Tribolium castaneum: one gene and its partners. The protein of the gene in region 1 purifies or fractionates together with the protein of each later gene. This does not show direct contact. Links are inferred from orthologs where the notes say so. Each region holds a gene or a part of one and is shown in the gene's direction. Other genes may lie near its edges.

Evidence for each region. The genes of interacting proteins can lie anywhere in the genome.
Region 2: the proteins of APC4 (region 1) and mr purify together in Homo sapiens (affinity purification with western blotting; 12 studies listed by BioGRID and IntAct, with this or other methods). This does not show direct contact. The link is inferred for Tribolium castaneum from reciprocal best matches to the Homo sapiens genes ANAPC4 and ANAPC2.
Region 3: the proteins of APC4 (region 1) and anaphase-promoting complex subunit 13 purify together in Homo sapiens (affinity purification with mass spectrometry; 9 studies listed by BioGRID and IntAct, counting the BioPlex papers as one, with this or other methods). This does not show direct contact. The link is inferred for Tribolium castaneum from reciprocal best matches to the Homo sapiens genes ANAPC4 and ANAPC13.

The regions. Positions count from the first base shown.
Region 1 is NC_087400.1:320,162-328,902, forward strand, and holds APC4 (anaphase-promoting complex subunit 4), read left to right. Parts: upstream 1-3,108; 5' UTR 3,109-3,214; coding exon 3,215-3,326; intron 3,327-3,371; coding exon 3,372-3,500; intron 3,501-3,561; coding exon 3,562-3,722; intron 3,723-3,768; coding exon 3,769-4,488; intron 4,489-4,943; coding exon 4,944-6,020; 3' UTR 6,021-6,026; coding exon of another isoform or gene 6,027-6,116; 3' UTR 6,117-6,166; coding exon of another isoform or gene 6,167-6,310; 3' UTR 6,311-6,377; downstream 6,378-8,741. Other genes in the region: WD and tetratricopeptide repeats protein 1, read left to right, coding at 51-409, 459-655, 867-1,043; CstF64 (cleavage stimulation factor subunit 2 tau variant), read right to left, coding at 1,307-1,557, 1,607-1,695, 1,751-1,780, 1,829-1,958, 2,015-2,198, 2,248-2,671, 2,717-2,795, 2,846-2,897; uncharacterized protein LOC659212, read right to left, coding at 6,027-6,116, 6,167-6,310, 7,753-7,955, 8,041-8,154, 8,204-8,223, 8,380-8,462, 8,516-8,659, 8,706-8,741. UniProt on the Homo sapiens protein: Component of the anaphase promoting complex/cyclosome (APC/C), a cell cycle-regulated E3 ubiquitin ligase that controls progression through mitosis and the G1 phase of the cell cycle.
Region 2 is NC_087394.1:29,186,751-29,194,478, forward strand, and holds mr (anaphase-promoting complex subunit 2), read left to right. Parts: upstream 1-3,812; 5' UTR 3,813-3,907; coding exon 3,908-4,500; intron 4,501-4,547; coding exon 4,548-4,686; intron 4,687-4,732; coding exon 4,733-4,886; intron 4,887-4,932; coding exon 4,933-5,191; intron 5,192-5,385; coding exon 5,386-5,540; intron 5,541-6,053; coding exon 6,054-6,593; intron 6,594-6,642; coding exon 6,643-6,881; intron 6,882-7,022; coding exon 7,023-7,223; 3' UTR 7,224-7,242; downstream 7,243-7,728. UniProt on the Homo sapiens protein: Together with the RING-H2 protein ANAPC11, constitutes the catalytic component of the anaphase promoting complex/cyclosome (APC/C), a cell cycle-regulated E3 ubiquitin ligase that controls progression through mitosis and the G1 phase of the cell cycle.
Region 3 is NC_087396.1:19,125,035-19,130,682, reverse strand, and holds anaphase-promoting complex subunit 13, read left to right. Parts: upstream 1-3,591; 5' UTR 3,592-3,725; intron 3,726-3,816; 5' UTR 3,817-3,818; coding exon 3,819-4,028; downstream 4,029-5,648. Other genes in the region: atlastin, read left to right, coding at 1-231, 279-440, 490-645, 702-987, 1,042-1,223, 1,277-1,480, 1,544-1,864; AN1-type zinc finger protein 1-like, read left to right, coding at 4,028-4,795; uncharacterized protein LOC100142251, read right to left, coding at 2,413-2,537, 2,586-2,659, 2,705-2,800, 2,846-3,278, 3,333-3,572, 4,815-4,971, 5,490-5,612. UniProt on the Homo sapiens protein: Component of the anaphase promoting complex/cyclosome (APC/C), a cell cycle-regulated E3 ubiquitin ligase that controls progression through mitosis and the G1 phase of the cell cycle.

The DNA.
Region 1 (8,741 bases):
GAGACAAATAGCCAAAAAAAAAGGCTTGTTAATTTTTTTTTTCTTGTTAGGATGGGCGATTTGTATGCGGCAGCACGTGATTATTTACACGTGATTCAGCATTGGCCGGACCATAAACAGGCTTACATTGGATTAATCAAATGCCTAATTGCCATGAAGTGGGAAGACGAAGCCAACGCTTGGTTGAAACACTTTACAAAACTTTACCCCGAATGTGAAACCTCCTCGCAGGTGAAATTCCTCGTTGAGGAGTTGCAAGCGCTCAAAAACAGCGTCAAGTTTGAGGAGACGGGAGTGAAGAAGGTGGAAGATGATGAGAAAAAGTTACGTTTGGATTCGTTCGATTTTGAGAAGATTTACATAGGGCATTGTAATACCACGACTGATATCAAGGAGGCGAATTTTTTAGGTTGTTTGTGGTGGTTGTAGAGTGTTGGTTTTTTCACGGCGGCTTTCAGGTGATTGTGATAATTATATTTGTGCAGGATCGGACGAAGGGATCATTTTTATCTGGGATAAGAAGAGTATGAATGTGGTTAGGGCTCTCTTTGGAGATAACTCGATAGTTAATTGCATTCAACCACACCCTAGTGCCTGTGTTATAGCGTCCAGCGGGATTGATACGGCCGTTAAAATATGGTCGCCTCGGCCTGAGGTAAGCACAATTGCTGGTCTCACTTTGAAATTAAGTTGGCCACTCTACATTACGGCTTTTTTTTAATTCGATAAAGGTTCCAAAAAAAAGGCTAGTATGATTTTTCGAAAACGGATAACTTAGTCACTTGATCGGAAATTTTTCTCCGAAATATAGTAACTTTTTTCTATTAATTTTATTAATGTTGGAGTTTCCGTTGTCGTTTATTTAGGACGGCAAAGTGAACAACCGAATCGTCAAATGCATCTCCACTGTAGTCGAAACAAATCAGCATCGCATGTCAATGGACCCATTCGAATCAATGTTGGCGAGCATGGGTTACCAGATCGAAGGAAGCGCTTTAGACGGATCGTCCATTCAAGAAGTACCAACGTGCCGAACTAGCTAATTTTTTAACAAAACCATTACAACCAGATTTGTAACTGAAAGTTGCAAACGAATAAATCCACCTCTTGTTTACAATTTAATCGTAAACAACCGAAGGAATCGCTCATTTATTTTGTACTTTCTAGAGGGTGCGTTTTTGTTGTTGATTTTTAAATGATATATACACAATACTGTAAATAGTGTTTATGTTAATAATTTTAAAGATTTTTTAATTATCATGTAAACTGTAAAAATTAAACTGATTTGGGGAAATGACTTAATTAATCAACGGTGTGCACTTTTGGCGATTTGTTCCTTCAAAACTAGAATACTATTACGCTGTTCAGGTGGCAGCATTGCAATCTGCTCATCTGACAATTGCAGGACTTGCATAATCAGGGCCGCCTTTTCCTGGTCTGAGGCCCCAGCTGTACCTATACTTGAAGCAACATTGGCAGCTTGGCGAACTTGGGGGGTACTGGGGGGCCCCTGCGGGGCTCTGACCGGCTGCGGAGGCATCGCGTTTTGCTGAGGGGCTAAAATCAGACTTTCAACAACCAATTCAATTACGTACTTCACACATACGCATATTTTTCTGTCTTGGGTCAGCTCGCTGTTGTTGTCTCGGATCAGATGGGAAGTTGGCCGGACCTCCACGTGGGTCCCTATTAAAGCTAAGAAAAAGTATCAGTAAATTGTATTTCTAATCAATTGTAAATGGTTATTTACCTTTCCAATTTCTGATCCTGCTTAGTGAAACTGTTTAAATTTGAGTAAAAGGGCTCAAGGTTGAATTATTTTACTTACTTTTCGACAAGTGGCGGCGGAAGGGGGTTGGGGAGTTGTCCGGGCAAAGTGCGCATGTCCTGGTCGCCCAGGCGGCTGAGGCGAGGATCAGCCCCTCGGGGGTCCAGTGATCTTAGATCAACGTCTTGACCTGCAATAACGCAAACATTATTATTATTTATAATCAATTGTGATAAAAAAAATCACCTGTGAAGACCGGATTGGAATTATTATGAATCGCGGGGGCTGGCACCGGCTGAAAGTCCTGTCTTGGGGGCTGCACAGGCGTGGGATTCGAGACATAATTACTGTTAATCGGAATGGGGCCTGGATTAGTCTTTTCCTTGGGCGTCAAAGACGAAGGAACGGGATTTTGCGGATGCAACATTGTCTAAAACCCCCCAATAAAATATAAATACGCCCCCAAACCCCCAACTCACAGCCGCCGTATGCGGGTCAATAATCCTCATAACCACCTGCGCCTGCAGCAGAGCGTACGCCAACTGGGGGTTCTGCAGCAGCATCTGCCTGGCCTCAGTGGGGTTGTTCTGAATGCAGAGCTTCATCTGCTTCATCAACTCGAACATCTGCTCGGGGGGCAACGAGGCCACGGCTTTGCTGATGGCCTCGGGGGCCTTCTCGGCCTGAATCGGCTCGCCGTAGGGGTTCTCGACCGGGGGCTGGTTCAGCAAGTTTTGCATCTCCATGCGCGATTTCTCGGTACAGGCGTTGTCGACCCGGAGGTTGCGCCCCCCGATCTCGTACCCGTTGAGGTTGCGCATGGCGCTGAGCGCCGTCTCCTGGTCGCGGTACTCGCAGAAGCCGTAGCCTTTGGGCTTGCCTGTCTCGCGGTCGAAAACCAACCTAAAATTCAGGCGTTAGGGGGCTTCAGGGGGCAGGGCAACGTACTTGAATGACAGGACCTGGCCTACTTCGCCGAAAATGTCTTTGAGCTTCTCTTCGGTGGCTTCGTAGGGGATGTTGCCCACTGGAAGCAATGGGGTTATAATTATCACTTAAAATTTAAATAATTTGTACCAAAGACCGAACGCATTGACTTGTCCATGATATTTGCTTCTAAATTATCCATGGTGATTGTTTAATTCCAACTTGGAACGAAGTAATCAAGACACCTGGGACACCAATTTCAACAAACGGTCAGCGTTACCAACCCTCTACCTTTTAAAAAAGTACAAAATTATGCATTTTAAAGCCAACAATAACAAAAATGTTGGTTTATCTATTGTGGTTACAACCCTAAAGTGAATCGTAACGCCTGACTAGGCCTGTTTGTGCACATTTGGCTAAATAAAGCAAATCGGGTCCAGACGCACAGTTGGTACCCATGACAGAATTAAACGTAACCTTACAATTTGAAAATTGTTTTTTGTTACTAATTGTTGGAAAATGAGCACAGTTCAGGCGATTAAACAGCTCGAAGAGCGCAATGTGGCCAGTGAGATTGTTCAAATGGTGTGGAGCGACCGTATGGACCTTGTCGCTCTTGCCAATATCAAAGGTAACCCCCATTTGCAGTAACCGGCATTTTTGGGTGTCTTTGTAGGAGAGGTGGCTCTTCATCGACTCACTTGGACCAAAGCGTGGAGTCTCAGTGCCCCCAAGGATGGGTTAAAGGTCACAAGTATTGCCTGGAGGCCTGACGGCAAAATCATAGCAATTGCGTACAGTTCTGGTAAAATATTGTAAAAAAAGTATTGGAAATAATTTAAATCCATTGTTTTGTGCAATTTCAGGCCAAATACTGCTTGTGAAGGTCGAGAATAAGTCGGTGTTGCACACTATTGACATCAAGGGCGAAGTTTCATGTCTCAATTGGTTGCAAGACCGGACTGTTAAAGGGAAACTGCCTTCAGTTGACGAAGACAGTAAACAGAATCAGTACATGAAACACATTGTAAAAAAACCCGAATGTTAGTGCTCGTTTAATTTCCCAGTTGTAGGACTTATCGGGTAATTTTTTGCCCGAACCGGTGCTACAACAGTTCGATTCCCCCAACAACGACGATGGTCAGAAAACCAACATTTTGCAAGAGCAAACCGACTTTAATTTGCTCCTGATTGGGACAAGTGAGGGCACCGTGCACGTGCGAGTTTTCGGTTGTTTCCCGTGCGCTTCCCTTGACTTGAAGCAAACTCTCAACTGTCTTTGCTCCATCCAGAACATGCATTTGAACGAGGACCTGAACCGCATGTTTTTCACAGTGCGAGACAACGAAAACAACGTTAAATTGATTTGTTTCGATTCGGAAATTTTCAAAACGCACACAAACGAACTGTTCGCTTTGGCCCTCAAACACATAAAATTGACCTCACTGGTGACCTATCTCTCCAACACTATTACCACCATCACCGAGTCCTGGGAGAGCATTTTGCTGGAGATGGACAACAAGTTGTCGAAATATGCGAGCAAGGTGCCAGAAGGGGGCGTCACGGCTGATTTTTTGGATTTGCTGACGTTTGGAATTTGCTCGGATGAGATGAAGACCTTTCTCATACACGATTTAACGAAGAAAGGGTTGGAGAAGTTCGGGCAGACGATTGAGATGAGTTATTCCAACATTCAGAAGTTGATGCTGAAGTATGTGATGAAGTTTGGGCAGAATGTTACCTATCACTTGGCCGAAATGAGGGGGATGGCAAGACTGGAACACCGCTATAAGGTTGGTACAAGTGTGTGGTGGCTGCCAACTCAACAAAAAAATTAAAATTTAATTTTGTGTGAACTTGGCAAGAAAAACCATCAAAAATGCACAAAAATGGAAAAATCACATTTAGTTCGATAATTTCAAAGTCTGAGAAATAGTTAAAAAACAGGCGTATTTTAGACGAAATTTTACGCAACAAGCTACATTGAGTGAAACAAACAAATATCAATCAGGTTTGCTTTGAAACGAATATAGTGTCTGATTTTTTAAACGAACAAAATACTATCTGGCAAAATAAATAAATATTTAGTTTAAAATCGAGCAAATACTACGTGAAAAAAGTCCAAAATATTCGGGGAAACCCCTGACGGCTTTAAAACGCCTTTTTCGGCTTTTCGCTCCCACGTTTAGGACGCGTTTCAATTGAAAAGAAGTTATTAGTGTAAAAAATGGTGATTGGGTGATTGTAGGTTTTGGGTTTGGACGCGGCCGCCATTACCGGCGCCATTTCCTCGAACGGCGCCTTCTTGATCAAAGGCAGCGAAATGCAGCAAATCATCAATCACTCCATCATCAATTACAAGGCCTTCTTCCGCTGGCTCTACACGGCAATAATGCACGTTCTGGATGAGCCAATACCGAACGAAATCCCCAAAATGACTCAGCAAGACCTGGCTTACATCACCGAATTTTTGCAAAACTTTGACCACATCAGTCGGAATAACAAACAAAAGGGGTTCATTATGGAGCGGTTGGGGCAATATTTAAGCGATGGCAATTTGACGATCCAACCAGACATGTCCGGGAACGAATGGACTGATTTTTTGGCCCAGAACCAATGCATCGAAAAAAATAGTTCCATTTTGAGGCACTTCAAAGAGATGTCGCTGATACAACAGTACAAGCATTTGAAGCAAAGCGTCGATGCGATTTTCGCGACACCTAGAGAGCAAATTAGTAGGCAGTTCAGTCATTTGAATGACTTCAATTGTTTCCAATTTTGCGGCGATTCGTTACGGACGTCCCAAGTCAACTTAAACAAAGAATCGATTCTTTTTTGTTACTTGCAGCCGCCTGAGACCGTTCTAGGCCTGCAGGTGTATCTAGACGATGGCAATTGTTTCATAAAGTGTGCGCGTCTGTACTTCCCCCGTGACAATTCCGAGGATAATTATCACGTGATCGATATTAAACTATATTCGAGTGCAGTATTGTCGGTTTTATTGCAAGAAAACACCGTTTCTAAAGCTACAGTTTTAAGTCAGATACCGATAGGTGGCGTTTTGGACAAGTTTGTGGATGGGGGGGAGACAGATCGTGTTTTTAGTGGTGCGGTTAACGTGGTTAGTTTGAACGGTTCGTGTTTGGTTCCGAAGCTGTTTAAGTGTGTGGAGGGGATGGTGGGGGCGGAGTTTGCAGTGTCGGGGAGTCGACGTGTCGGTATCGTATTGGCGGAAAATCGGAGGAAGGTGCGCTTGTATGAAATGGAGGGGGAGGAAGAGGAGGAGGAAGATGCGGAGATGAACAATAGTGGGGTACAAGAATGACTTTATTTACATTCTAAGGACTAAAGTTTCGTATTCGGGACAAGCGATTTCTTCGCCGCCGTATGCTATGTAGCAGACACCATGGCTGGGGTGTATCTGGAAAATAAATGATCAAGGGTTAAAATTTATAAGGGTGAGTTAAGTACTTTGCCAATTGTTTGGGAGCCTTCGTGGTAGGCGCGGCCTATGTAAAGGGGCTCCCCTTCGCTGGTGTGCCCCCCTTGGACCGCCCCTGGTGGCAAGTGGCCGGCGTGCGATTGTACCCACTCGAAGTATTGTTTACATAAAACCTGAAAATTTTAAAAAATAAATAAATTCGTTTTCCTTATTAATTAACCTTGCAAGGTGGAAGAAAAATTGTTTTCTTTTAGTTTTTGTACAGATACAAAAAATTAAATAACGAGATTATAAAACAAAATATAAAAGGGCTTTATTTTCCCATATTCAACAAAAAAAATTCATAGCTCAAAAACTAAATGTCGTAGAGCAAAACGGTTTGTTCCAATGAACTCAGCGGCTCATTTTCTGAATTATACCAACGTTTAACGAGATCTAAAGTTTTAAAATTTTTTGCTAAAAATTAAGATAGTTGTTTCTTATAGTGGAAAATTTTATTCAACCAAAAAATTTATAACTCGAAAACTAAAAGTCGTAGAGCAAAACCGTTTGTTGCAGTGAATTCTGCTGCTTAAATTGCTTAGAATACTAGCCTTTTCACAACACTAGCTTACTCGAGAAATTTAAAAAAATATATATTTTAATTTTAAAATTGGTGGATGCGCCGGGTTATTTATTAAAAAATTCATAACTCGAAAACTAAAAGTCGAGGAGCAATGCGGTTTGTTCCATTGAATTCAGCGGCTCATTTTCTGTATTATACCAACTTTTCACGAGATCTAAAATTTTCAATTTTTTTGCTAAAATTACCTTCAAAGTGGTGAAAAAAAATTTTTTTTAAACTCACTCCAGTAAATTTTTATGGACTTTTACATGTCTTAACAACCCACAAAAGTTGTTAAAAGTCCACAAAAAGTCCATATGTTCGATTTTTTGATGTTTGATTTTTTCAATTTTCGTCGCAAATTTTGTCGATTTTCGGTACCCGGAACTTTTGTCAAGCAATAGCTCCGGAACTTTTAGAGATAACCCTACGAAGTGTATTATCGTTGGAAAGCTCTTTATATTATCTATTTTTTTCAAAAAAAATTATTGTTCTCCGACTAATAGTTTTCGAGCAAATTGGAGATAAATGCAAAAATTAGTAAAATTTTAAAAAATTCATAACTAAAAAACTATTGGGAATTTGGCAATTTTCTCGATGCCAATCGATTCCCCGGATCATTTTGTATAGGTATGGAACAAAATAGTTCCACTTTCTGGAATAGTTTAGCCGTGAATGAGAATTTTTGCTAAAATTTTCTGAGTAATAATAATACACTTTCTTCCAAAAACGTGAAAAAAATATTTTTTTTACAAACCCATTCTAGCATAGTTTTATGGACTTTTCTATGCCTTTACATCCCTCTGGAGTTGTTAAAAGTCCAAAAAAAGTCCATATGTTCGAAAAAAAAATCTCAAGAATATGCATATGCATATAATGGCCGAAAAATAGAACTGTTGCCTGTGACATTTAGTCACAATATTTGTCACTTTTGCGGATAAAAATGCTTGTTTTACTTTAAAAAAAAGTTACAAGGGGATAAATATCAAATAGAAACACCCAGTATATTACTTGGAAATTTTCAACGAGGTGTTCCTGTCCGTTGTGAGAGACATAGGCGGCGTTTTTGCCGGGAATCACTTTGGCAGGGATCAAGTCACCTTCATGGTAGGCTCTACCAACGTAAATGGGATGCCCATCCCCATCCATGCCCCCTTGGAGGGCCGTCGGTGGCACTGACCCATAGGCGATGGAACTGTCAACCCAACGAAACGCTGGAAGTGAATTTCATAGTAAGTGTTATATTTATTGCTCCGTCTTGGTAATAAAGTCCGGTAAACCCCCCAAACTGGTCCTTACCTTGATTATGAAAACTGGTATTTTGAGATTGAGGGTAAAAATTTTGATTCGGGGGATATTGAGGGTAATTAAAGGGTGCGGAAAGGGAAAATTCCGGTCTAAAACCATAGCCTCCTACAACCCATTTTCCGAAAACAAGGAAAATCAGAAAAACGGTACTCACCTTCCATTGTGTTAAACTGTTACCAGTTCGCAGAACGCTAATAAATCTCATTATCTTATCATTAATAAATATCACGAGATTTGTTAGAGCTAAAAGAACAACAAACTCTTGAAGTCTAGAAGGTTTTTATTTACTTATAAAACAAATAATACGAGGTGCAAACACACAATTAAGGCCGCAGTATCAAAATCTCGTACTCCGTAAATCTCAACTCTTTCCCATCAAACGGAATCAAACAACATTTGTAACTGGGGTGCACCTAAAAACCCAAATATTTATTTTTGCTCCAAGTAAACAAAAATAGACACCTACTTTACCGACAGTATGCGAGCCCTCATGTTCCACTCTGCCAATATACAGGGGTTCCCCATCGACGGTTCTCCCACCTTCAACTGCCCCTTCGGGGATTTTGTCTTCGGTGGTTTTCACCCAATCGAAACGTTGCTCGCATAAAACCTATCAAAAAATTAATTTAAATTGACAATGTCGCCAACTTAAATACTTGAAAACGGTCCACGGTGTATTCCTTGCCGTTGTA
Region 2 (7,728 bases), on another chromosome or scaffold:
ATGAAACCAAAAAAAATGTTTATTTGCATTAAATTTTGAGCAAGCCACTTTCATTCATTGAAATTAAAGGCAAAATTTCGTGGCAATAAATTATTTGAGTGGTTTATTTTATTTATAGTTACTGTATTTAAAATGTGTCACTCAAAATATCACTTTTCAATACCGCATTTATAGATTTTAATTGCATTTAAGTTTTATGAAATTATTGGTTTGTGAAATAAATAAATACGACACAGCAATAAAATACACCTACCTTCATATCGCTTCCACGTTGGCTACCGTTTGTAGCATTAAAAAAAATAATAATAAAAATGAAACCAAAAAAAATGTTTATTTGCATTAAATTTTGAGCAAGCCACTTTCATTCATTGAAATTAAAGGCAAAATTTCGTGGCAATAAATTATTTGAGTGGTTTATTTTATTTATAGTTACTGTATTTAAAATGTGTCACTCAAAATATCACTTTTCAATACCGCATTTAAAGATTTTAATTGCATTTAAGTTTTATGAAATTATTGGTTTGTGAAATAAATAAATACGACACAGCAATAAAATACACCTACCTTCATATCGCTTCCACGTTGGCTACCGTTTGTAGCATTAAAAAAAATAATAATAATATAAATGAAATAAAAAAAAAATGTTTATTTGCATTAAATTTTGAACAAGCCACTTTCATTCATTGAAATTAAAGGCAAAATTTCGTGGCAATAAATTATTTGAGTGGTTTATTTTATTTATAGTTACTGTATTTAAAATGTGTCACTCAAAATATCACTTTTCAATACCGCATTTATAGATTTTAATTGCATTTAAGTTTTATGAAATTATTGGTTTGTGAAATAAATAAATACGACACAGCAATAAAATACACCTACCTTCATATCGCTTCCACGTTGGCTACCGTTTGTAGCATTAAAAAAAATAATAATAAAAATGAAACCAAAAAAAATGTTTATTTGCATTAAATTTTGAGCAAGCCACTTTCATTCATTGAAATTAAAGGCAAAATTTCGTGGCAATAAATTATTTGAGTGGTTTATTTTATTTATAGTTACTGTATTTAAAATGTGTCACTCAAAATATCACTTTTCAATACCGCATTTATAGATTTTAATTGCATTTAAGTTTTATGAAATTATTGGTTTGTGAAATAAATAAATACGACACAGCAATAAAATGCACCTACCTTCATATCGCTTCCACGTTGGCTACCGTTTGTAGCATTAAAAAAAATAATAATAAAGATGAAACCAAAAAAAATGTTTATTTGCATTAAATTTTGAGCAAGCCACTTTCATTCATTGAAATTAAAGGCAAAATTTCGTGGCAATAAATTATTTGAGTGGTTTATTTTATTTATAGTTACTGTATTTAAAATGTGTCACTCAAAATATCACTTTTCAATACCGCATTTATAGATTTTAATTGCATTTAAGTTTTATGAAATTATTGGTTTGTGAAATAAATAAATACGACACAGCAATAAAATACACCTACCTTCATATCGCTTCCACGTTGGCTACCGTTTGTAGCATTAAAAAAAATAATAATAATATAAATGAAAAAAAAAAAAAGGTTTATTTGCATTAATTTTGAACAAGCCACTTTCATTCATTGAAATTAAAGGCAAAATTACGTGGCAATAAATTATTTGAGTGTTTTATTTTATTTATAGTTACTGTATTTAAAATGTGTCACTCAAAATATCACTTTTCAATACCGCATTTAAAGATTTTAATTGCAATTAAGTTTTATGAAATTATTGGTTTGTGAAATAAATAAATACGACACAGCAATAAAATACACCTACCTTCATATCGCTTCCACGTTGGCTACCGTTTGTAGCATTAAAAAAAATAATAATAAAAATGAAACCAAAAAAAAATGTTTATTTGCATTAAATTTTGAGCAAGCCACTTTCATTCATTGAAATTAAAGACAAAATTATTACGTGGCAATTAATTATTTGAGTGTTTGATTATAATTTTATTTACTGTATTTAAAATGTGTCACTCAAACGCGATCACTAGTCACCGAATTGAAAATTTAAACCGGAAAATTTAGATTTGTTTGAGCACACGTCCGTTCGCGACAACGGCAAGTAACAAACTGAATAAATTGAAGGAAACCGCACAATACACAATAATTTAAATAAACCGACCCGACTCACCTCGCCTCCTGCTTCCCGCTCACGATCTGACCCGTGCCATTGCTCGCTGTCGACTGAAGCGCTCTCGCCGCCTGCGCCGCACACCTAACCTCGGGACACGTCACGGATGTGACGTCACTTAAGTCTAAAACAAGTCATTACCAGAAATATTCACTGGAAAAATTCGTCAAATTTAGAAACATTCATACACAGAATTATTTAAAATAGAACAGCATTGATCTAAAAAAATTAATTATGACAAATGTATTTGCCTATAAACGTCTAAAATTATAAAAGTTTCGCATGCAGTCAATGGAAAAATAAAAATGCATGTTTTTATTTAAACAGAAACTGGCAATGTGAAATTTTGGTGCGAAAATTAGTGGTATCGCAATGCGTATAGCAACATTGTTTGTTTGTTTCGTTTTGTTGAAAATTCGGTAGGTTTCAAAAGTAGGGTTATGTTGTCACCCGAAAATGACAAAATTTACACTTTTATGAATTTTGTCTCCATCTCTGCCCTTTCAGAGCGTTATGATAGGATATTTAGGGTCGAAATCTCTACCTTTATTATGTGCTATTGCCAGATAAGGACAAAAGTTCAGAAAGTAGGGTTAGGGTGTATTATGCTCTCTTCTGAAGTGTTAAATTTTAACTTTAATGTTTTTTGTGTGCTTTCCTGCTCTTCTAGAGCGCTATTAATTATTATTGAACATGTTTAAGGACAGACAAATCTACCTTGAGTCAACGACATAAATTTCAGTGAGATTTATTGAAAAATGCACTTCTCGTGTCAACCTTTTCATGAAAAAGGGTGTTTAAACGTTTATAAAGGGTATGTTAACGTGTGTTGTTAACTTTACCACGTAATAAAACATAAAGTATAACTTGGTAATTTTTTACTTTAACTACTTCTGGATTTTCAAGCTGAAACTTACACCAAACGATTCCTCTGAGTGCCCTGATGACCGTACACTATGAATTTTCTTGTGCAAATTGAAAATTACATTAGAAAAATAATTTTTATTTTCACTCACTTTTTACTTGAATCGCCATTTTTGTTGATTTTAATTTGAGTTTATTTTTTATAATATCACGTTAATTTTTATTATTATAGTGGATCAAAGTGTCGTCTTTAGGTTAGACTATTGCCTACTATCGGTTAGGAACAACATGATCTCCAAAAATATAACGTAGTAATGAGCTCCAGAAGGTTTACGTAGATAGGTGCGTTTTTCCCAAAAGTGAGTTTTTTGAGATCGAACCGCAAGTGAGTCACACTGCGAGGAGACTCCCATAGACAGAAGTTGCAAACATAAGGTGCCAGACCGGTGCCAGTTTGGCTGATTGCAAGTATGTCTTTATCATCGATTCGGTGACGACTATTAGTTTCGTAAACTTAATGGATTTAATAAATATCTTTAACATTAAATGTGATCGTGTCATGTTGGGTAAAATTCTTCCATCTGTGCTGTCTGTGGATCCACCTTTTCAAATACAATTAAGAAATTTTCATAATAATTGTATTTGATAAGGTATTGGCATCATTTTGACGTGAGCAAAAATTAAAAAAATATAAAGTAATCGGAATTATTTTAAATTTGCGCCATTTTTAGTACGTGATGATGCGGCTAGATGGCTTCAGCTAGGAATTCATTGCCAACCATTATGTTCCGCTTCTATAAAAGTGTTATTCTAGGAACAGAACCTAAAAGTTTGTCAGTTTTTTACGTTCAGCAATTATTATTTTTACAATGAATAATCAAAACCTGGACTTAAAAAGTGCGTGGATTACGATTAAAGAAGCTTTTCCAATCTTAGAAAGTCCTTCAAAGATCCCTGATAATGATTTCGACTCTGCCCCTTTTGAGGCAATCAGCATTATCAAAAGGCTCAATTTAACACAGCAAATTCAGGATTTGGTCATAATTAAAATAGAAGAACGTTTGAGGAAGGAAATAGTCCCAGATTTTTGGTCCCACTTTAAGAAAACCGAGAACGAGGCGGCAGTTTTTCACGAGTTCTACAGTGTGGTTAAATTTTTGTTTCACAATTATGTGCAGCTCGATTTAATTATTAACAAGTTGATACTGTTGAGAGAAGCAAGCAATTTCACTAAACCAGTGTACAATCAAACTTGCCTGCATGAAGCTTTAAAATTAATCGTTAGGGCCGTCTTGTTATCCCAACTCCCCATTGATCATGAATGGATGATAGTAAATTTTTACGAAACGGCGCTTAAAATGCAGGACCCGGAGGAAGAAAATAGCACAAGTGGGGAGTGTGTTGTGTGCATGCAAGAGGAATTTTCCTGTTCTTGTCGTGAAATGTTTGAAGAAACTAATAAGTAAATAGTTTTGTTTTTTATTTTTTTACTCAAATATTTGTGTCTAGGAAATTGGGCAAGATGACTTTATTGGAACCGTTAGTTGGCCAGGCTCTCACTGATTTAATTTATAGTTACATTCAGACACATATCCAGAAAATCTGTAAAGACAATTTTGATAATTCGCACATTGAGAGTCTAGAAAAGGTAGAAATCAGTCGTTTCTTGAATCGATTATACGAATTATTTTCAGTGGCTTCAAACGGTTGTTATTTCATGGTTGAAAAAAATTTACTTTCATAATTCGGCAGTCAAGGCCATGGATGAGTTTGACAAAAAACTAATCAATTATTTATACAACACTTACACCAAAATACGAATAGATCAGTTATTTAACATCATAATTGGTAAAAATTATTGTTTTTGTGGCAGTCTGTCATCAAATATTTTCAGAATATCCTGATTCTCTTCCGGCCCTTGACGACCTTCGACTATGCCTTCCAAAAACCGACCTAAAACCCCACTTAACTCGGTCGTTGCAAAAAGCAATTGAAACAAGATTATTACATCCAGGAGTAAGCACGTTTGACGTTCTGACGGCTTACGTGGCTACAATTCGGTCATTGCGGATTTTGGACCCCTGTGGACTGCTTCTAGAGACAATTACTCAACCGGTTCATCAGTATTTAAGGAGTCGGGAAGACACAATAAGGTTTAATAATTAAAAAAAAATGGTCTAGTTGGCATATTTGACGTTTAAGTGTCAAATTTTCATAGCTAACTGGAATTTCGGAAAGACAATAAATAGTGTAGTTGGCCTTGAATGACATTTAAGTGTCAAATTTCCACAATTAAGGGGCACTTTGTGTACAATAATTCCGAAATAGGGCGAAATTTTTAATACAGGTGTGTGGTGGGTAGTTTGACTGAAGAGGGCCCAAATGATTTAGCTGAAGAGCTGGTCCGGGGCGAAGCCGTGCAAGTGGACGAGAACATTTCGGTCGATGAGGGGGTTGAAGACTGGGAAACGTGGACCCCAGATCCGGTAGATGTCGTCCCCAGTAAGTGTCTTTTTATCGCTTTGAGGGAAATCGACGTTGGCATTTCCATAGTTTTGAAACAGAGAATAGTCACTTTTGACAAATGATTTTTTCTTCTTACGGTGACAGTTTATTTAAATTTAATAATTCTAGTGCTTAGTCACCAACCAGCAAACTAAATTATAAAAAAATATTTATTTTTGAGTTATTTGTTACAAAAAAATTGTACTTATTAACTTGTTTAGGTGCTAATTTCCTATATTTGCAATTCATGTCCTCCCCTCCTCTCCCCTCGGTCGTGCTGTAAACCACCTGCTTATGTGAAAAATTGCTTTTTTAAACGATTTATTAAATAACGACAACTGATTTTTTCCATTTACATTTTACATGATTATTTATTGTCCTCAAGAAGCCCAAAAAGTTGACGAAACGTAAGCAACAATTATAAACCAAATAAGCTTTGTCTGCCTTCCCAATAATAATTAGACTTATCCCACGTATAATATAAATAACTAATTCCCTCGAAAAATTAAGGCAAATCTTCGGGACTTCCCCGCACTTCTGACATCATCTCAATGCTTGTCAACGTCTACGGCAGTAAGGAGCTGTTCGTCAACGAATACCGCACCTTATTAGCCGATCGTCTTTTGTCGCAATACTCCTGCGACACCGAGAAAGAAATTCGTTATCTTGAACTCCTGAAGTTGCGCTTTGGTGACTCCCAACTCCACTTTTGCGAAGTTATGTTGAAAGATATCGCCGATTCGAAGCGAATCAATCAACATATTCAGCAAGACTTGAGTTATTCAGACGATGATATTCCCATGTCTGCCATGATCCTAAGCGCACAGTTTTGGCCAGCGTTCAAGGACGAGAAGCTTGAACTCCACGAAAAATTGGTGAAACAGATGGAGAGTTACACTGGTGCTTTTGAAACTTTAAAAGGTAGCAGAACCCTGTGTTGGAAAAATCATTTAGGAATTGTGGATCTTGAAATTGAATTGGCGGATAGGACTTTGAATTTGTCGGTTTCACCGGTGCATGCGACGATTTTGATGCACTTCCAAGATCAGAGTGAGTCAAAAAGATCAAGATTTTAAGCGACTTATTTTTTCGTTTCAAGATACTTGGTCTTTGGAAGCTTTGAGTAAAGTAATGCACGTTCCGTCGACAATTTTACGGCGCAAACTGAGTTTCTGGCAATCACACGGGATCATAACTGAGCCCGAACCCGACGTTTTTTATCTACAGGAGGAACAGGAAAATAACGAAAATAATATACAGGATGATATTGTTGTTGAAGATTTTGAATCAGAGTCGGCGATGGCCAGCGCTCAAGACCAACGCGAAGAGGAATTACAGGTAAAAAATCTATACAAATTGGCTATAACTTTGAAATTACGTTGGTAATAAAGTCAGTTGTCAATGCTGCCAACCTAATTTCAGTATCATAGGTCAATCTGTACTGAAGTTTATGGGAAAACATGTTATTTTTTTTAACAGACTTTCTGGTCGTACATTTTGGGTATGTTGATGAATTTGGACACTTTACCTTTGGAGAGAATCCACCAAATGTTGAAAATGTTCGCATTCCAAGGACCCACAATTGAGTGCAATTTGCAGGAACTGAAAGTGTTTTTAGATAGGAAAGTTAGAGAGCATCAGTTGATTTATTCAAACGGACTGTATAGATTGCCTAAATAGCTTTATTTTATATTTATAAGTCTTTGCATTTTGCTACCTACGTATTCCTATGATCCTAGTCCATAACTCAATTTAAAATTTTATAATTTTTAGAGGTTTTTGTATTCAACCAACTATACGACGGAAAGCAGTTGGATTGCCTATTTTTATGAAAGTTAGCAAAATTTTGGACAGAAAATGTTTAAGACAATGAGTGTATATCGCGGACCCCAATTATCTTATGCCCCAAATATATTTGGGGGGATAATTTTTTTTATTAAAATAAGAAAAAGAGCGCGCAAAGTATAAAAAATAGCAAAAAATACTCGTTTTACAACGGTTTTGGCGCTTACGGCTCATTTTCTAACTTGGCATTGTGCGCCAAATCAACTCTAAAATTGTTTTTTTAATATAAAAAAGTGTGCTTTTTGTAGGTAACCAATTATACAAGGTGATATTGTCCATTGCCTGTCTTAGTTAAAAATTTTAGCAAAGTTTAATAATTTAAAACCGGTGACTAAAACCA
Region 3 (5,648 bases), on another chromosome or scaffold:
GTATGTAATAAGGTATTGTTTGACACAATGGCAACTGAAGCTGTTCGGAGGGCTGTTCAAATTATTCGTAATGACAATAATTCAATTAGCCTCGACGTAAATGCCCTCCAAAATATTCTTTTGAGGGACGAAATAAGGAATAAAAAAATCTGTGTCCTTTCAATAACGGGAACTTTCAGACAAGGCAAATCTTTCTTATTAAACTTTTTTTTGAGATATCTGAAACTAAAGGTACGTATGGAATTTTATTTTCTATTTACTTTAATTAAAAATGCTAGCATGGGAGTTCTCCACTTGATCCCAATTCTGATTGGTTGGATCCCATACATGGGTCACATTTGTCGGATTTTTTGTGGGATCATGGGTCTAATGCTCATACCAATGGTATTTTAATGTGGCCAGAGATTTTTACTATTTATAAACCCTCGTCAAATGAAGAGGTAGCTAAATGATCGGTTTTATATTTAATATTTTAAATTGGACTTCCAGATTGCGGTTGTTTTGCTCGATACTCAAGGCTCATACGACAATCAAACAACCGTAGAAAATTCGGCAACGATTTTTGCTCTTAGTACAATGATAAGTTCCGTACAAATTTATAACGTGATGCGCAATTTGAATCAAAACGACTTGGAGTCTGTGGAGGTTTCTTACAAAATTATTGATCTTATTTAAAAAATTTAACGAAACATTATACTTAGATGTTTGGCCAATATGGGAGATTACTCACAAATGATGATTGCCCGTTTCAAGATCTTTGGATTTTAGTCCGAGATTGGCTTGCACCCTACGAAAGGCCATTTGGTATTCCAGGGGGTGAGTCTTTGCTTCAAGACAGGCTTTACGGTCAACATGATGCGCTTCCCGACGAAATAAATGAGCAAAGAAATAATGTGCGCAATTTATTTCAAACAATTAATTGCTCCCTGTTACCATTTCCTGGAGAGCGGGTAGCGGCCGATCATACTTTTAACGGAGATCTAAATGGTTTCTAAATAATTATATTTCCAAAACTGAATTTAACCAATGATTAATTTCTAGAAATTAATGACAATTTTAAGCGATACGTTAAGCAACTAGTTGAACGCATTTTTGAACCAGAAAACCTGGTAATAAAACGCTTTAACGGAGAAGAGATCACCGCCAATGATTTATTTCAATGTTTTGGCACGTATACTGAAATACTTGGGGATGGTTTACCACATGTTGAAACAAGACTAGCGGTATAATTAAGCGCTTCAGTTTAAAAAATTTGAGAAAACGCCACATGTTTCAGGCGACAATAAATAATCAACATAACGACGCTGTTGAAAGTTCTTTTGAACTATATGATCGACAAATGCATCATAATTTTTCCTCAATTTTATTACTTAATAATCACCACGAATCTTGTAAAACAAGAGCACTTGACAATTATCATAATACTAGATTATTAGGAAGCAGTCTCGTGTATGATAGATACGAACAAAGGCTTATCAGGGTAAGGACATCAATTAATGTTTTTGTAGGTATAACTATAATTATCTCTACGTATATCTCGTAGAAAATGGACGAACGGTTTTCGATTTACAGGGAAAGATTCGATTTTGATAGAGATCGCCAACTTGAACGTGAACGACGAAGAAATCAACAAGTGAGTCTTCAGCAGTTCAGACCATCACAGTCTTCGAGCCTCGTTTCACGAGAATCCCTTTCAACAGAAACGATAATTCTTCAATCCTTGCGTATTGCAACAGGACTTGCGGCAATTGGTTTTGGCATTTATGAAATAATTCGTCAATCATCTAGAGATACAGGAAATTCTAATACAAATAATTCTTCTTCCACAAGGCGGTACTCAACTGATGACTCTGATTCTACATAATCTACTAAAACCGATCTTTGTTAATATTTTGTATCTTATTACTTTTTTGGTAGTTAAATAACTTGCACCAGTGTCGGCCACTTTAAATAAAAAAATAAGCAGAAAGTTTGAGGCATTTTATTTGTGACAGTCAATTTATTTACAACCTCCGGTAACCCCAGCTTTCTGAAAACCGCGTTTTTAAAACCATTCACGTTTCTTAATCTTTCCCTGTGATATATGGTGGAGGCGCCGGGTAAAGACAAGTTTTACAACTACGTATACGCAACTAGTTACATTATTTTAATGATTTTTAGTGTTTTGGAACAAATTAGAACTATATGCATTATTCTTAAGCTCAAACAAACTTTTATCAAAAATGCAGCCTTTCATCTAATATTTCCATTTAAAAGCTTAGTAATATTGCCGCAATTTATTTCAAACAATTCAATGTTCTCTGTTGCCATTTCCTATACCTACATGTTTTAGTTTTTTTGGTAGTAATAAACGACCGACCAGTTGCACATATTATTTCAACGTTTTTTGTATTTTTATAAAATAATTACATTACTGCGTCTTGCGACGACGACTTTTCTTCTTTTGCATTATCAGCGAAAGCCTCATTTTGCGTTCAAACATAAACTCAAATGTGCTTTCAACTGACCCTCTTCCGCGATGCATATCATGAGGATTACTGCAATTACAAAAGTTTCAAACCGAATCAAATTCGGCACAGACTTACATAAACCAAGAAGATTTGGCAGCTGGTAAGCCCGTCGCGTGTTTCATTTCCCTCACAGAGGCAGTAAGTGCCATCTGAAAACAAAATTAAAAACGAACACCACTTGCACGCACAAATACTTCTTTGATTTGTTTCCGTCTCTCCCAAATCTTTAGATTTTTCTTCAGCAAGCCCAACTCAGCTTTCTTTTTCACATACTCTAAAACAGAAGGAACCTAAGGTACGATAGCCAAACTCACTTGCTTAATTCGAGCAAGAACCTCGTAATTTTCACTCTTGGTTTTAATTTTATCGTGCTCTTCCTTGGTTGCCTCCAGTTCTTCGGAAACCTTTTCACATTCGTCGTCGATTTTCCGAACCAACTCCTCTTGCATTTTGATTGTGTCTTGATACACTTTTAGATCGGTCACTTTCTTGAGCAGATGCTTCTTCTGATTGCTCAGCAGTAAATTCGCGCGGCCGTTCATTCTTTTCAGTTCGAGAAGCAGCAAATTCCTTTTATCGATTTTCTCCCTCAAGTGCTTATTATCAATTTCGAGCTGCTCAAAATCCACCTCTTGCAAGTGCTCGCCCAGTAACTTCTTCTGCGTTAATTGAGCGCATATTTTCTGGTACTGCACTTTTAGAGAGCTCGTCCTTAGGCGCAGTTTATCAATCGTAGCGCCAGTTTTTTTAAAAGTTTCGTCCATAAACCTGTCCGGCACACCACAGTCTTAAAATTAGTTTTTTAAGTGGGGATGTCTTTACCGACAAAAACGATCCGCTGGATTCTTTTGCGAATACTTTTCTGATAATTCGTTAGTAATAAATGTTCTTTCAAACGTATCTTTGATTTCTTGTATTTCACTTTCGCGAATTGCCATTTCCTCCAACTCTGCTTTCAATTTATGCCTAATAACGTAGCACTTTCTGTTGATTTTATTCAACGCTGCTTGAATATTGTCCATTTCTCGCAGTATCAAATCAGTCTTCTGCGTAATATTGATTCTTAAAATAAATATCAGTAAATTTAAATTCGCGCCAGGCACAGCGTCGCCAATTATTTAGAACAAAACTAAAAGAAACTAGAAAAAACGTTTGGAGGTAAATTTATTTGTGTTCATTTTGGCAATTTGCTGAATCACTGTGCTCCCAAATTTAGTAAGTGCCTTTAACAGCTGTATTCTAAGGCAGAATATTTGTATTTCTTGTTAGGTTTTTTGTGTAAAATTGCCATAACCCCACTTTCTAGGAATGGACAGTTCAGTGACTATTGATGGTTACTTTGTTGATTTAATTGACGATAAGTGGCGTTCCGAGAAGCTGCCTCACGACGATATCAACGTCCCCACGCACGAGCTCGCCGACCCCGAGGCCGACTCCGGAGACATCCACTTAACCCTCCAGGAGCAAGAACAAAAGTGGACCGACATTGCCCTCAGTGCACTAAGCGAACACCAGTGATGGAGCTCCCCAATTTAGGTCAGCAATGCGCCCATTCAAACTGCCAGCAGTTAGATTTTCTCCCTTTACAATGCAAATGCGGCAAACAATTTTGCTCGGAACATTTCAACAAACACGTCCAAGTGTGTGAAACCTCAACGAATGTTGAGGTAGAACCACAAAAAATTCAAAACGTGTTCAAATGCTCGTTCGAAAATTGTCACGAATCTAGTTTGGTCCCTTTGCTTTGCTCCACTTGTCGTAAACATTTCTGTATAAAACACCGGCATATCACCCAGTGTAGCGAGCCAGACGAGGAAACTCTCGCCCAAAAAAGGGAGAAACTGGCTGCGCCTGTGAGGCAGTTCAATGAAGCTAAGAGCGCGGTTGATAAACAAATCGAGCAAAATTTAATCGCGGCGAAAAAGAAGGGTAAAAATTTGGCAAACAAAGTACAACTCATGAAAATTAAAAATAAAGCGAAGGGGTTAAATAGTATTCCAACTTCAGACCGCGTTTACTTCAATGTTACACACCCTGAAACGGGGCACGTGACCCCCGTTTTCGTTTCAAAAATTTGGAGTTTGGGGCGCGCAATCGATGCAATTGCAAGTGAGTGTAAATTGAGGAATGATAATAACAAGAGTGGTGAAAAAAAATTAAGATTGTTTAAACAAGATAGTGGTGAAATTTCGAAAAATCTGGCGGACGGTCTTGAAAAACTGATCAGTGATGGTGTTATTATGGATGGGGAAAATCTTATAATAACTTATGTAGATGATAATTGAATAAATTTTTCAATCATACCTTGGTCCTTCTTTCTCTAATACTGTGGGGGTTATGGAACTTGTTGAGTATGACAAAATTGTTGACTGGCGCGAAGCTCTCGTCAGTGTCAGTCTTTTGGAAGAAAGCGAGGCACGGTCCTGGATTGTTTGGACGTTTTTCAACACGTTATCCATACCTGCACTTTCCATGTTTTAGTCATTACAGCCGAGGTGGGAATATTTTAATACGTGTTCATATTCAAATTACGGGAACGAGATACAAAATAAATCACTTTTCTGTATTCAGAACTACAGAACAATCCTATTTATCGAATTGCAGACGTTCTAAGCAATGTAATATAATGTTTATTAATTTAATTTTACCTGGAAATGATAAAAACTGCAGAAAACTTAAATGTTAATTAGGATTAAGGTGAATTTTTATGTTATTGTAGTTTCCTTATTTTTTATTTTGTGGTGTATATATTTCACCTTTTACTCATTAGCCTCGAGGATAGACGAAGCCCGAGGATGTAATGAAATTCCTACCGAGTTTTGTACGCTATTTTATCCACAATCACACTTGTTTAAATTAACGAATACAGAAAAGTTGATGCATTTAGTTGCTATTCAAATAAACCTCTTGACCAAGGGATGCAATCACGTATTTCCCGACAGTGATTGTGGATGTAGAATTTTATAGTTTATTTTAAACCTTCGAGTAGTGACGGTTCGTTTTTTTCCAAAAAGTGGAGGAAAACCATGTTTTCCAGCTCCAAATGTTTGGCACTTTTTTCTAATTCCGTTACGGCATTAACCAAAGCGGCGTTTGTCATATCTGAGGTTTCAAATTAAATTTGGTTTAGAATTATGG